Coturnix japonica: one gene and its partners. The protein of the gene in region 2 binds, or shares a complex with, the protein of the main gene of each other region. Links are inferred from orthologs where the notes say so. Each region holds a gene or a part of one and is shown on either strand. Other genes may lie near its edges.

Region 1 (5,140 bases), on a different chromosome or scaffold from region 2:
TTAATTGAACTGAAATCTGAGCAACAGATTTGACAAAATGTAATTTTAAGAGGTACCAGTCCCACACTTCCTTTAGCCCAATGAATCATAATACAAAATTAACATGAAGGGTGCTATGAATTAGTTCAACAACAGATCTCACAACATAATTACAAAGTCATTAAATAGGTATATTTATGATGGATCATCGTGGTCCAGAACAGCATTATTATCAGTTATTCAGACAAAAACAGAAGCCTTTAAAAATCCAAAGGAATTGAAATGTAGAAGCGGGCACTGGAAAGTAATAAAAATAAAACACTGACACAATAAAGCAGAAATGTTTTCACACAATACAGAGGAAACAAGAAAATAGTGTCAAAAGGACAGTGCAAATTTAGAACACAAGAAGCGTCAAAATAACTCTTGAGACAAATCAGGACAAACTGCACAAAATTAAAAGTATCAAGACCTCTATCAGAAGCTTCATGATGCCATCTAGAGGAGGGTGGTCAGCAAGGTTTCTTAATTCTGTTTTTGATAAGCAGTTTTGATTATCAACTATGTAAAATATAGAATACTGTGTTTCAATACAAAAAGATGTAATCAAATTATATACCACTGAAACAAAAGCACAAGCTCTTTAATATTAATGAGCAGATCTTTGGGATTTTTCTTCTTGTTCTCTTAATAACCTAGGTCTGCAAAGAGAAAAAGACAGTATTGGAAGAAACAGTGCTGAGAGCCCATGTCAAACTCAGCATTTAATTATATATGGAAGATTTCCTAACATACATGTATACGTCATGACACACAAAGCACTCAATGTGTTACAGAGATAGACTTTGGTGAAAATAAATTGCAAATACAGTGAGACGTTATATAAATCGAGAAAGCAAACCACCAGCCAATCTTATTATTTGATTAAGATTTCCATTGTTAAAGTATAACTTCTACTCCACTAAAAGCTTTATTCAATCCTTGTAGATGTTGGCACTGAAAGTAAATTTCTACCTATGGAGAGAGTGTTCAAACAGGCTTAATGATCTATTGATAAGAAATATGTATTCCAGGCTCACAATCACGAGACTTCAAAGTTCAACTGCTTTTTGTTACCCACTGAAATAAAGCTGAAAAAAATCTTTGAGCCTAAAAATTTTCAAAGCCTCATGTAAAGCTCAAGAGTTTGCTAAAACTGAAGTCTAAGACAGAGCAAAATAAAGCAGTAAAAGTTAAATGCATCAGTACACACAGATACTGTTTAAAGGAAGCACAATCCCTTTGGAATCTTCAAAGCCGGATCAGCACATTAACAACAAAATCCTATATGCAATGACAATAAAAAAAACGCATCTTCCCCCCATCCCCACCCCCACTCCCACCCCCACCCCCCTTCAAAAAAGGCACTGACATAAATTGGTTGTTGGTAAGCAGGATGAAGGTCAACTTTAGAATGCAGTGACAGCACCTCCTGCTATAGCTGACTATGGAAAATAAATAACTGCAGAAGCCCAAAGTTACAAGAGCACTAATGGCTAACAGAATCCTGCACACCAGTTACATTTTCACTCTGTAGGCAGTACACAAACGCACAGTCACAGAAGTGGTGGCACAGATACTCTGTGACAGAGTGTTAGCACCTAAGCGGTAAATGAAGCAAACTGAGTGATTTACCTAAGCCAAAGTTAAGTCAGAAATTGATGGGCCACTAGAAAACACTGGACCTTAGCATTCAAAACAGAAAACAAGACCTAAAATAAGAAATTCTTTTAAATGTGCTCTATTAGGCTCCACTGCATCCATGATAGACTTGCTTAGAGCAGCACTCTTTTTTTCTTCAGAAAATTCTCTATTGCACTGTCATAATTGTGTGACATTCCCCACTTCAGCAAACGTACTTTTCTGACTGTAAGTGCAACATAAACACACACTTCAGTGGCAAGATTCATAATACAGTCATCACATCTGTGCACAGAACTCACATTCATCCAGTCCCAGCTGATATGCCAAATTCTGCAGGCCACGAACCTTTTCCATCAGGTTGGCTGTAGTGAGGCTTCCCAGCTCTAAAAGGAAAAAGCGTGATTTTTAACACTGTAGCCCTCTAGTGGCAGCTTATGTTTATCGCTTCACAGAGCATTCAAGTTATACTTTGAACAGTATCGGTTTACAGTGTACAGCATATGTTCTTCAGCTCTCACAACTCATAATAACCAGCAAGACATTCTAACTGTTCCAAAGCAATCAAAAAAAATGAAGAAAAAATAAACAGCAGGGATTTACTGCTTCAAAAAGCAGTAACAAGGAGAACAACAGCATTTTTGTTATCAGTATATATTCTTGTGGGACCAACTAAAGATAGAGGCAATTGACAAGACAAAGACTCCTAAGCAGAATCATTCAACTGGAGATGTTCTGCAGGTTAAGATGGTCTGCAGATTAAGAGGAGCATCCCCCATCCCTTCCTTTCCACAAGGCTTCAGAAGGTCTCTGAGCTCATCTTTTTAGTAGGCACTGAATTCCCACCCGCAGACAGCCTCAGTGCCCATGGAGCCCATACTCACCCTTTAACATATCGATATCATCATTCTCCAGTTCAGCCATCCATTTGGGAGGCGAGCTTGTAATAGGCTGGTTTGGGGGGGAGGAAAAAGAAAAAGAACAAAAAGAAAGGAAGAAAAAAAAGCAAAACATTCTCAGAGAAGTACATTTTTAGCTGCATACAAAGCCTGATATAGCATTTACACACACAGAATTGTAGGGGTTGGAAGGGACCTCTAGAGATCATCGAGTCCAACCCCCCTGCCAAAGCAGGCTCCCTACACCATGTCACACAGGTAGGTGTCCAGGCGGGTCTTGAATATCTCCAAAGAAGGAGACTCCACCACCTCCCTGTGCAGCCTGTTCCAGTGCTCCGTCACCTATTTACAACCAGTTACACTGAAAGAATAAACGCGATGGCTCCAGGCACCCTACAGGGCTACTCTAATGCCTAGAAAGCTCTTCCTGGACGAGTTGGGTGTTACTGCAAGTCACAGCCAAAGCCAGCAGTAAGAGCAGCACCCCCAGGGCTTAGAGCAGCGCGTTCCTGCGCAGCTCGTCCCTCCCGCAGTGCCTGTATGACCCGCAGTGCCGTGGTGTTGGCATCTTACGCTTTTGAAGGAGGCGGCGAACTCGGCGACGCCGGGCACTGCAAGAGAGAACCGAACAGCGCCGGGTGAGCGCGGGGCCGGCCCGGCAGCCCCGCCATCACCCCAGCGACACGGGCCCGCCGCACTCACTCACACTGCTCAGGCCACAGGTCCGGAGAAGCCCGGTCGAGCTTCTCGAAGCTCAGCAGAGAGGCTTCCAGATCGGCACCTACAGCACAGGGAGTAGAACGGAGGTGAAGCGGCGCCCGCTCAGACCGTACCGCAGGGTGACGATGACCCCATTCGCGCGCCTTACCGTCACCGGGAGCCGCCATCTTGCCTGCGTCACGTGACCTAAACCCACAGCCCGCGGGAATCCACCCACGTGACAACAGAGCCCGAGCGCCTTAGTGCTCGTGGCCAATCGCTGCCCCGGATGGGGGGGCGGTGGCGGGAAAGGGGCGGGGCGACGCTCTCCCTGGCAGCGATTGGCTGGCGGCCGGCAAGGCCCCCTCGGGGGGGGCGTACAGCGGGCGGGGGGGGCGCTCGTCTGGCCAATGAGCGGGCGGGGGCGGGTCCCTGTGCTGGGGGCTCCGCTCGGGGTCCGAGCGCTGTGACCCTCGGCCGGGATGGCGGCGGTGGCTCGTGGCGCTTGGGGCGGGCGGCGCGTGGTGCTCAGGGTGAGGCGGCACACGGACACAGCGCTGCGGGAGGGGCCGCGGGTGGCACCTCGGGGGGCGGTGGGGAGGAGGTGGGGGGTGTGGAGGAGGAGGGGAGCACCGTGTAACCGGGCTGCTCTGTGTCCACATCCAGCTGCCGCGGACAGCCGGGGCTCCCTGGATCGCTTCGGCCGCCGTCTCCTCCTCCTCCGTGGTGAGTGGGGCCGGGCAGCTCTGTTTGCTGTTGGGCTGGAGGGGCCCGCGGCGGTGGCTCCGCCGGGCCGAGGAGCAGCTCGGATTTCCTGCTCTCCCTTCAGTTCTGAAGATGGTGTTATCCCGAGTGCAGCCCGCGGCACGGCTCGTCCCGCCGTAACGCCAGCCACATCAGCACTTGTCATGTCTTATTCTTATTTTAACCCACCGCCGCGTTCCTTCACAAGCCGAGGCCTCGCTTATCCATTACACTCTTCGCAGCCGTGACCTGTCCGGCTCAGCCCCATTTATTTTCCTGATTCGTCCTTTGATCCCTCTCCCACCATCACAGCAGCATTAGCATCCCTGCCCTCACCAGGTGAACTGCCCGGTGGATGAGGGAAAGGCTGTTGGCACAGTCTACCTAGACTTCAGCAAAGCCTTTGGCACTATATTCCAATCTCTTCACTTATATGGCCCCAGTTCTTCCTGCATGTTGCAGCACTAACTGCATCTTCTACCCCTGCTTTTTCTTCTCCATACTTACCTGAACTCCTTAACTAATGGGCAGAATTCTTACCAAGTGAATTATTAACTGGTTTCTTTTAAATATGTCTGTGAACTGCAGGGTTTTTATGACTTAGCAATTGTAGTGACTGAGTAGATTAAAATAGTTCTGAACATGATTCTATCAATGTGTATCTTCTGTAATAGTTTTTAGACGGGGTTTTGACAATTTTAGCCTAAATCAAGGGGAAAAAAATGATGGAGTACAGTGGGAAATAGCAAAAGCCTGCACATAACAGGGCACATTGTTATGTGTGCACTTTCAGGGAAAGATCACTCACTGTGCTGTCCTCCACAGCCAACAACTAAACTGTTCATCGATGGGAAGTTTGTCGAGTCCAAAACCACAGAATGGATTGATATCCACAATCCTGTAAGTGAAATGGCTTCTGCTCATATACCCACAATCGGTGTGCAAGAGGATGCTGTGATTTCCTTGAATCACTCGATGAAAGGGGGAAGTATGTGTGCTTCTGGAGAAAGCTTAGAGTTGGAGCTTAAGACTTTTCTTAACTATTTTTCACATAGAAAGGCTCTGTGAATGTGATGTCAAAATTTCAGCTGTCATCCTGCATATATGCAACCTGATATGGTTTGATGCCAGCTGAACAT
Region 2 (4,702 bases):
AACTTCCCAACATGGTGTCCAGTGGCTAAAGTGGGTTCTTTACAGTAGATTACACAAGAAAGCACCCAGACAGATTTTGAAGGAGAGTCTACAACTCCTGTGGGCAGCATGTTTCATAGAGAAAATATTTTCCTCATACTCATATGGAACTTCCTATGTTCTCAGATTAATTCCAGGCATCTCAGCTTCTCATGGCAGAACTGTACTATTCAGGTCTCACTTTAATTCCCCAGTTCTTGATGGCCTCGTATTCAAGGTTGATTTGAACCTGGGTATCACAGCCCTATGGTGTTCTACCACGTTCCACCGAGGACAGCAGAAACACCAGAAATATAAAGTCCTGGAAGGTTCAGCTAGTGGCACAGGGAGGCAGAGTGTGAATGACAGAGAAGCTGTAGAAGTTTTGCTAGATGGCACAGAAGTGCAGCAGGATTTATCCTGTCTTACTGACAGAACTTCACTGTGTCAAGATAGGAATCAAGGGGTCTGAATGCCATAGCACTGCAGTAAGGCATTTGTTGTGAGACCAGGTATGGATGCTACCACAGTCATAGTAAAGATGGGAAAGACCTAAGCTTACATAACAAAGACAAGGCCCATGAGTACATCCCTGTGCCATCAACTCACAGATGTGCACCAGCAGATGCTGTCCACACAGATGACAGTGCTAAAAATAAGGAAGAAAAGCAACATGCACTGTCACAGCACTGCTATCCCCTGCCAGTAATGCCCACACACAGCACCCTGGACAAGGAAGCACTGTGCTCTCTCCTGCAGTAGGCAGGTGCAGATCTGCACAGCAGTGCTCCCTCCTCATAGCAGGCACTTGGCCTTATCCATCATACAGGGTAACTGGGCTTGGCCTGTGCTGCAAGCACTCCAGCTGAGGGAATCACAGTCTGCTGCTCTCGCAGAAAGAGCTGCACTGAAGACAAGCAGCGTCAGAACCAAACTCTGCACCCTGTTCTACCAGAAACACATGCATACCCTATGCACTGGAACTGCCTAATACAAGAGAGAAGAAATACAAAGGTGGCAGAGATTATGAGATTAGAGTATTAAGGCAAAGCATTGACATTGCTTACTAGTTCACAGACAAACCCAAGCGGAGGAGCCCAGGCTGGCCAGCACCACTGTTCTGTACCTGAGATGGAGAGAAGGGCAGTGTCTTGACAGGGGTGCTCTTAGGCGTCATGCTGTTGCAGGAGTCAAGGAAGGAGAGGCTGGTGCTGGGGGCATTCTCCGTGACAGGGGATAGGGAGATTTTCCTCTTCTTCTGCCTCTTCAGCACAGAGGGCGGCGTGCCAAAGCTCACCTCCGCATGTGGTGAAATAGGGATGAGTTCCCCCTTGCTGCTCTTGCTCAGGTCGGAGATGGTGTCGCCATCCAGGCGGTACTCAGTCACGTTGGGTAGGGATGGAGTTGGTTTGCTGGGTGTTTGCCGCACTGGGCTGTTACTACTGCTGCTGCTGCCTGCAGAGGGTTCTTCAGGCAGGTCAAATTGGGTCAGGTCACACCATCCATCTGGGTCCTGCGTACAAGAGAAGCCATCAGAACCAGCCCAGGAAAGAAAGCTGGGCAGCTGGCTGGTGCAAACAGAGAGGTTAGCTGGGAGGTGAAAAAAGCAGGTGTGCAAGACTGCGCTGCTTTTTGCAAGGAGCCTGGTTACAGAATAACTGAAGCTCTCTGTCCTTTGCAGTCAGCTCAGTTGAGAACCAGACCACAAGCCTGATCCAGCTGAAAGCTGTTCGTGCATAGGGCAGTTTTTACGCTAGGCTGGTTTCCCAGTTCAGTTCACAGCACAGCTGTAACACACAGCTGCACCCAAACACAGGGGGCAAAAGAGAAGTGGCCAGGGACAGAGTATGAAAAAGGTGACTGTTGCCAAACTTGGTCACACCAAAATGGGTGGGCACAGGGCTATTCTGTAAAGCAGGTTGCTGTAAACAGATGAAAAATAGCCAGAGCCATTCACAGCTCAACCCCATCAATACAAGTACCATTCAAACAGGCCTCTAAGGATGCACAAATTGGACATTAAGCCTTGGGCACAAAGTCCTTCTTTGCAGGTGTGAATATTTCACAGATAATCAGCTCATAAACCAGATTGCAAAGATATTTCCCCTTTTTGGCTGCAAAGTGTCCTGAAAATGAATTAATCTGGAGGCTAAACTAAAGGAATCCATACAACTTTCCTCAGGATACCTGTGGTGATAAGCAAGGTGACCCAGCGAGCTCACTCAACAGAACAGTGGTGGAAATCAGGTCCTATAAGTCTCACTCCACTAGCTGGCGGAGCAAAGGTGTGCTACTTACAGATTCAATCATGTCCAGAGCTTCATTTAATGCTGGGACAGATGTAGGACACAAATAATTGGCAGCTTCGACGACCCACTTGTACGGAGATGCAACAGATGCTGAGGCATCCTCAGGCACCACATCATCTGAGGTTCCTTCCCCGTTGTGCTCAGCCAGGTCGGCAGCTGGCAGCTCTGAGGGTAACTCCTGCAAACCCGTCACCTCCTCATCGCTGACATCCTCTTCCTTTATTTCAGAGATATCAACCGGCCAGTTTGGCACAATGGTCTTCACACAAACAAGAAAGAAAGCGCAGCCATTAGCAGAAACCAAGTGAAGAAGATCAAGTCCAAGGGCACAAGCACAGATCCTTGGGCCCACCACGTTCCTCCCGCTTTCATGGAATCACAGAATGGCCTGGGTTAAAAATGACCACAATGATCATCCAGTTTTAACTCCCCTACTGCATGCAGGGTCATCAACCACCAGACCAGGCTGCCCAGCGTCACATCCAGCCTGGCCTTGAATGTCTCCACAGATGGGGCATCCACAGCCTCCTTGGGCAACCTGTTCCAGTGCGTCACCACCCCCTGGGTGAAAAACTTCCTCCTAATATCCAACCTAAACCTCCCCTGTCTTAGTTTAAAACCATTCCCATTAAAAACTTTCCTAACAGCCATTTGGACCATCCTACATCCCTGTTCTCCTTCAATGCTCTGTCCCATACACCACCTGAAGGAGCCCATACAAATTAAGAGGACTATTTAACTGAGTTAATGCAAAGACAGCATTAGAGGCAGTAGCAGGGTGACTGACCAGCTCTGATGCACGTTAGCAGAGCAGAGATGGACCCAACAGCCCACATACTTGTGCAGTACCTGGCTCCCAGCTCTTGTTCCACTTTGGCTCTCATTGTCATCCACTTCCACTAGCAAGTACAGTGGCTGGGACTCCTTTGTTTCATTGAGGAATCCTCCTGTATCCACTTTGCGCTTGATGGTGGAGTTCCAGTGATTCTTCACAGCATTGTCAGTCCTGCAGAGAAAGCAAAAGAAAACAATAAGTTATTATTATCAGCAGCCTTAAAGCACAGCTAGCAATTCCTGTGAGCTCCCCAGCCTCATCCTGTGAGACCAACACATGATCTCCACAAGCCACCCAGCTCTGAAGGTACCAGTGAGCAAAGACATCCATCCTACCTCCCAGGCAGCAGTTTGGCAATCTCAGCCCAGCGATTCCCCAGAACCTTGTGGGCCTCAAAAATGATGCGATCCTCCTCCTCTGTCCACGAGGATTTCTTAACCTCAGGATTCAAGTGGTTATGCCAGCGTTCCCGGCACTGCTTCCCTAAGCGTCCTTTCAGGTGCTTGGCTATCAGAGTCCATTGTTTGGTGCCATATTTTTTAACAAGTTCAATTACCTTGGAAGAAAACAGGAAGGAAATCAGGAAATGAGACAATCAATACAGGTGTTGCTTTGCATTTCACCTTTGTTGGGACCGGGTACAAGAAGACAAAGAAGGATCCAATAAGTCAAAAACACTGGAGGGTCCCAGCACTGACACATGACACTGTCAGCAACAGGTGAAAAACATTTCCGTGAGCAACAATACAACCAAAAGCCTGGAAGAGGCAGTTTTCATGCAGCCATTTTACCACTTGACACCTATGGATGTAGATGATGGCTCACATAAGACTAGGACAGAGACAGGCAGATGCAGTGAGGAACAAGTCAGAGCAAAGCACCAGGTACCACATGCTTCAAAGCTCCTCTGCCTTCCTCTCTTCCCAAGAACCTGGCTGCATGAAAAGAGCTTTCACCGTGCCTATATTACTGCCTGCTGGGACAGCATGGCACAGCCATCCTTCAGCAGAGGGTACAGCCCCTGGTGAGGACACAACCTGCAGTTTCATGCCCCACTAATGCCACAACACGTGGTGCAAGCACAAAGCAAAAATGAGCAAAATTCACTTAAAAGCCATCTGCTTGGCAATTTCCTCTTCGCCTAGGGCCTTTACATGTTGGCCTAAAGCTCAGTGCAAATGCTTCCAGGTAGGGAATCTTTTCTGGCTGGCCTGAAATAAATCCATGCAACAAAGCAATGTAACATAACATGCTGCTCGCAGTGTTTATCCTGCCAATATCTCAGAGAGGAGGCCAGATGACTCCAAAAGAGCACTTTTACCCTCTCCAGCAGTGCTTAGCTGAAAGGTGCAGGTAGCAGGTGCACCACAGATCTTGCTCACAGGGTCCATAACTAACACTCCTATTGCAGACTGACTGCCTAGGGCAGACAAATGGGCCACAGATACCCACGTTCAAGGATCTGGATTGTTTGCAGTGCAAAACTATCCAGCTTCAAAAAGCTGGAGTCTGGCTTGGCCATGATGGCAGTGGGCATCAG
Region 3 (5,204 bases), on a different chromosome or scaffold from region 2:
TCCAAAGGGAAAATAACAAATTGCTGCTTCAGTCTTTTGTGGTCTATGTAGCAAGATCCTTCAGCTAGTGCCATGTACTCGGGCTCAGGGAGCAGCTGGGACTCACCATTTGAACAGCAGCCTTGTGAAAATAAGGTAAGAACCATTTCTTGCCAGTCAGTGGGGCATGAAATAAGGATAGGTTTTTTAAACGTTCTTTTTGTTGTGTTTTTTCTCTCTTACCGTTCCAGACCCAGAGGTACAGGCAAAGATGTCGCTTCCTCTTCAGACAAACTGCAGGTCGGAGTATGTCAACCCAGAGGTTGGGCCACATTTTAGTTTGAGGTTTTACAGCGAGACGGACAAGTTGAGCTCATTCTTCAGGAGAAATGTGGGCTGTGGGGGTTATGGGTGTGTGTTGATATTACAGCATGGGTTGTGGGCTCACAAAGCATTGAAATGAGCAAACAGTGCAAAGTAACGTGTTATGAAAAGGAAAAGGGGAGATGATCTGGAAAGTATCAACCAGATGGGGAACACGGTGTTGTGCTGAGCCACCAACCAGAGAGCAGCGTCAGAGCTTCCGAAGTGTGGGTCTTACTGCAGGAAATCACTGACTCCCTGCAGAGCTAAGGAACCTGTTACAGCAGTGTTCAGTGTGGATCTCCTTCTGAGACTGAGTTTGGGCTGTGTCTAAGTTCTGAGGAGTAACAGGTTGGTTTAGAACCATGCACAAGTGGTGCTTACTGCAAACTGACCATTTCAGCATCTCCAAGCTGAGCAGTGTGTGCATACAAAGGCAGCTCGTTCTGCAGGCACTGAAAGCCAATGCCAGCTACAGCAGTCACCGTCCATCTCCTTTCCACAATGGTTAAATGCCTTTTTCTTGTAATCACAGCATCTGACATAACTTTGTAAGCACTGCATAAAAATAACCAAATGAACTAGAAAGAAGTTTTAAAGACACACATGACTTTTTATTGAGGCAGTATTTGAGTTCAGATCTGGGTTTAGCACATGGAACTTAGGAGGACTGCAGGAAACCAGGCACTCTGCCTGGCTTCTGTTCTGCTGCCTTCCTTTCCCGCAGCACGGCCTGCTGCGTTGCACGGCCTGCTGTGTTGACTGTGAGCTGCTTGGGGCCTTGGCAGCTATGTGAGGGAATGCTCCATTTTGCATATGGTTTATTAATGCTTTCGTTTAAGCTTCTTACGTAACTGCAGGTATTGATAAAGGTCTTGTTACGTGTGACTGTTTCGTAGGGAATGATAAAGAACAGAAAGCGCACGGTCAGCACATTCCTGGGCCTGTGATTAATAACCGCCTGTGAGCCGTCCCACGGCAATAACCATCCGGCTCTCGCTCCTTAGCTCAGGACCCTGTTCTGGTGCCGATGGCTGTTCCCTGCCGTCCCTGTCCATCAGTAACACCCAGCTGTGCTGTGTTTCCCTGCACTCCGTTCCGCTCCCCGCCCCGCTCGCTCCGTCCCGTTCCCGCCGTGTCGCGGCTCCACACGCATCTGAGGCGCCGCCTGGGAAGAGGCGCCCCGCCCTTCCGCCCCGCCCCCTCTCGCAGCGGCCTCCTCGGATTGGCTGGCGGCGTGTGTACACACACCAGGCGCGGCCAATGGTGCGCCGAGGGCGCCCGACCTCGCGCGAGGCGGCGGCCAATGGGAGCGGCCGGCCGGCAGACGCCGCCAAGCTTGTGCGGGGGAGAAGGAGCCGGGCAGAGCGCGGCGGGATCGGGCCGGAGCAGCCGCGCAGCGATCGCGGCGCCACGGAGCGGGACTCGCGGCCTGTCCCTGCCGGGCCGAGCTGCGGGGCTCCTCGCCAGGCGGCGGCGTGTGGAGCGGAACCGCGGCCGGTAAGTGAGCGGACGGCGCGTCTCGGCGCCTCAGCGTCGCCGCCCGGGTCCGGTGGCGCTGCCGCGTTCGTTCCCTTCTCCCGCCCGGGCCTGAGAGACACGCGTCGGGATCCCGCCGGGACAGCAGCGCCTTCATTCGGGCCGGGGATTGCGCTTCAAACGCGCCTCGAGAAGGACAGGGCCTGCACCGCACCACGGCCTGGGTGTGACTGCGTGAGGCGGGGTGTGTGAGTGTGTGTGTGTGTGTGTGTCTGTGCCGGTGCGGCCGCTGACCTGACACCTGCGTTGGCCGCGCGCTCTCCCGGCTGTGTTTGGGGCTCCGCCGGTACGTGACACGGCGCAGGGTGCCGCGGGGCCTCTCGGTGACGGGCCGGTGTGAGCGGCCGGGCCGCGGTGCCGATGGCGGCGGGGCGGAGTGGGGGGGTTGTTGTGGGGGGTCGTTGTGGTGCGCGCGGTGCCCGGGGACGCGCCGAGGCCGCCACGACAAAAGTTGGAAGCGCCGCTCGCCGCGCCCCGCCGGATCAGGGCTGAGGGCTGAGGGCTCAGGGCCTGCCCTGCACGCCGTAGGCCGCACGGGCTTCAAGGCGGAGGCGAATGGCGGGGTGAGTGCGGCGGATCGGATCCGGGTGTGCAGACAAAGGGAAGAAAACAGCTCGTAAGGGAGCTAACTCCGAACGGGGGAGAAAACCGCAGCGCGGGGCTGGCAACGGGCTGCGGAGCGCCGTGCTGTGCCGTGCATTACTGTGCTGTGTATTGCTGTGCTGTGCCGTGCCGTGCATTGCTGTGCCGTGCATTGCTGTGCCGTGCATTGCTGTGCCGTGCATTGCTGTGCCGTGCATTGCTGTGCCGTGCATTACTGTGCTGTGTATTGCTGTGCTGTGCCGTGCCGTGCATTGCTGTGCCGTGCATTGCTGTGCCGTGCATTACTGTGCTGTGTATTGCTGTGCTGTGCCGTGCCGTGCCGTGCTGTGCCGTGCCGTGCCGTGCATTGCTGCGTCGTGCATTGCTGTGCCGTGCCGTGCATTGCTGCGTCGTGCATTGCTGTGCTTTGCCGTTCCGTTCCGTTCCGTGCCGCCCTCACGTGCTGCTCCGCTCCTTGTGCCTCCTGCCCCGCCGTGCTGTGAGCGGACACAAAGCGGGTGGTCGCGTCTGTGCGGAGCGGCGCCCACTGACTTGCTCACTCTTCAACACGGCGGGTGGGAAATTCAGATGCGATGGTTACGCGACCGGTGTTTTTATTTTGGAAATGGGTTCGGTTATTTTCACGGGTCTTTGTTAATATTCCTCGCTGTTGGTTTCTTTCAGCTGCACAGTTGTACTGTAAGGCAGTAGAAATGAGGTCAGAACCAGAGCTGCTTTTGTGGTACTGTACACATCTACTGCACACATCTCGACTAGATGTGATCTTGTATTAAAAAAAAGCCAGAACATATACATAGAGAGAGGCAGAGACTGTATAAATTGATGCTACTAGAAGAGAAACGAGTAACAGCTTTGCCATTTCTTTGCCTGCATTAAGGCTTGTTTTCCTGATTGTAGCACTTTTTACCTTGTCCATGAGTGCAGTGATGTGCTCACACGGGGCAGACCCGTGGCTGCTGCTGGAGCACAGAGGTGGAACAGCATCTCGGGACGTTTTTGCTGGTGCTCTGTATTGCATGGAGGCATTTTTGTACATAGCCAAATTCTGCATTTTGAGAGCCTGTGTTTGCAGTAACCTGCTGGGCACCTGATGCAGCACTTCAAAGAAACGTGGAAGCTTAAGTTCACGTCGCAGAAATGAACATACATCAAATAAATGGTGAGGAGAGGGAGAAAAAGCATAAATTCTTGTTGGGAAATGGTTGTGCAGTGAGCCTGGTGCCTCTGGAAGAGCTAAGAGTAATGGCTCTGAGAATGGTTCAGTTCTGTACAGAGGAAAAGGTGGTTAATTGTTAGATATTGGTAGGTTTACCTCATGGCTGTGTGTTAGACTGATCACATTTTACAGACAAGCTGTTGGGGCTTCTTGTAACCGCTTCCTGCTTGCACAGAAATCACTGTGCTAACAGAACCAAAAGAAGCTGTTTGACCTGCGTGAGGTTGATAGAATTAGCGTTGCTGAAATCATACGGCACTGATGGGAAGGCCGCTGTTCCTCTAGTGGGTTCCAGTGGGTCGGCTCACTTCACAGAGTGGTGAGGCTGTGCCTTGTGTGCAGCAGCTCAGCACAGCTCTGCCATGTGAAGGAGCAGGCTGAGCAGCACAGCAGGGCTGTTCCTGCTGCAGGAGGACTCCTGGTTTGTTCCTGTTCTTGTGTGTATTGGACAGTATTGCAGGAGCCTCCTATACATCTGGAGCTGCCTGTGAGCAACCACCAAGTGAAGATAAGGCTTTGTATTTTAGCACCTTCCACTGGGTTTAGCAAGAAGTAGGAACTGTGGTTCCAGCTTTCCATCCCCTTCAGGAACACGTGATGTTGGTCATTTGAAGTCAGCAAAACTCGCTGTGCGTTGGGGAGAGCATGGTGCTCATCTCTGAAATGAGCTGACCGGGTCAGGGGAGGGAAACTGCAGCCCGTACCGGGCAGGTTCAGTAAGCTGAGGTTTCTTTCTTTGTGTGCTTTTTCTGCACATACTTGGAGGTGTAACGAGTAAGAATTTCTCATTTACTTTTCCAATTGTATTCGTAGGACACAACTACTAATGAACCAACAGCGGGTTGTAAAATAGGGAAAATAAGCTGGCAGTTGTCTGGCCTGGTGCAGGAAATGTGCTTGTGGAGGTGGTTGTGTGTACAGAACCAAAAAGCCACTGGAGCCAATGAGACAGGCTCACAATTGACAGGTGTTCAGAGGAGAGCAATGCACAGAACCAGTGTGCATAGGACATGGAAACCAATGGTGTGAATGTCTGTTGTGGGGCTTGAAGAACTCAGCACATGCTTCTGTATGCTTGGAAGCAGTGCAGAAAGGAGCAGATACAGCAGTGGAATGTTGGTTTTACAACAGCTGCCTGTTCTGATTCTTTGTCTTTTTGTAGCATCCATTGTTAGAATGAGAGCCGCTTGATTTTTCCTGTGTTTCTGGATTTATAGCAGCTCTTCTGCAGGTTTTGTTATCTTACACTAATGGCTCAGTGTTTTTTCTCTCAGAAGTCAGGCCGTGCTCCTCTGTTTGAAAAGTCGTGTTTCTCCACTTCCCTCCAGCTGCTGCTGGCAGGTTGGTCCCCGTGGGGACACCCGTGAGCTGGAATGGTCTCCCAGGTAAAGAACCCTTCCCATGTGAGCAGAAGCTGTAATTACTGGGCACAGTTCTAACTGGCCTATATTACAAGAGCACTAATGTGACCAACAGTTGTGTGTAAGGTTAGGAACTGCATTTT

What was found.
Region 1: the proteins of MYBL2 (region 2) and LIN52 are in contact, whole or in part, in a crystal structure (PDB 6C48), measured with the Homo sapiens proteins. The link is inferred for Coturnix japonica from reciprocal best matches to the Homo sapiens genes MYBL2 and LIN52. Residues at the interface, in NP_002457.1 of Homo sapiens: Trp663, Val666, Ala667, Gly669, Thr671, Asp673, Gln674, Phe676, Lys680, Ala681, Gln683, Leu684; in NP_001019845.2 of Homo sapiens: Gln84, Ala87, Tyr88, Gly91, Leu92, Glu94, Ser95, Met98, Thr99, Lys102, Phe103, Leu107, Glu108, Lys109.
Region 3: MYBL2 (region 2) and TFDP2 share a complex: the UniProt entries of both Homo sapiens proteins name them as parts of the DREAM complex. The link is inferred for Coturnix japonica from reciprocal best matches to the Homo sapiens genes MYBL2 and TFDP2.

The regions. Positions count from the first base shown.
Region 1 is NC_029520.1:34,236,651-34,241,790, reverse strand, and holds the start of LIN52 (protein lin-52 homolog), read right to left. Parts: upstream 3,538-5,140; 5' UTR 3,446-3,537; coding exon 3,427-3,445; intron 3,340-3,426; coding exon 3,265-3,339; intron 3,170-3,264; coding exon 3,132-3,169; intron 2,611-3,131; coding exon 2,544-2,610; intron 2,046-2,543; coding exon 1,962-2,045; intron 681-1,961; coding exon of another isoform or gene 667-680; exon of another isoform or gene 150-666; intron 1-149. Other genes in the region: ALDH6A1 (methylmalonate-semialdehyde dehydrogenase [acylating], mitochondrial), read left to right, coding at 3,740-3,790, 3,924-3,983, 4,827-4,901.
Region 2 is NC_029535.1:3,100,484-3,105,185, forward strand, and holds part of MYBL2 (myb-related protein B), read right to left. Parts: intron 3,719-4,702; coding exon 3,498-3,718; intron 3,334-3,497; coding exon 3,177-3,333; intron 2,587-3,176; coding exon 2,317-2,586; intron 1,532-2,316; coding exon 1,145-1,531; intron 1-1,144. UniProt on the Homo sapiens protein: Transcription factor involved in the regulation of cell survival, proliferation, and differentiation. Transactivates the expression of the CLU gene.
Region 3 is NC_029524.1:8,785,017-8,790,220, reverse strand, and holds the start of TFDP2 (transcription factor Dp-2), read left to right. Parts: upstream 1-1,667; 5' UTR 1,668-1,842; intron 1,843-4,999; exon of another isoform or gene 5,000-5,085; intron 5,086-5,204. UniProt on the Homo sapiens protein: Can stimulate E2F-dependent transcription.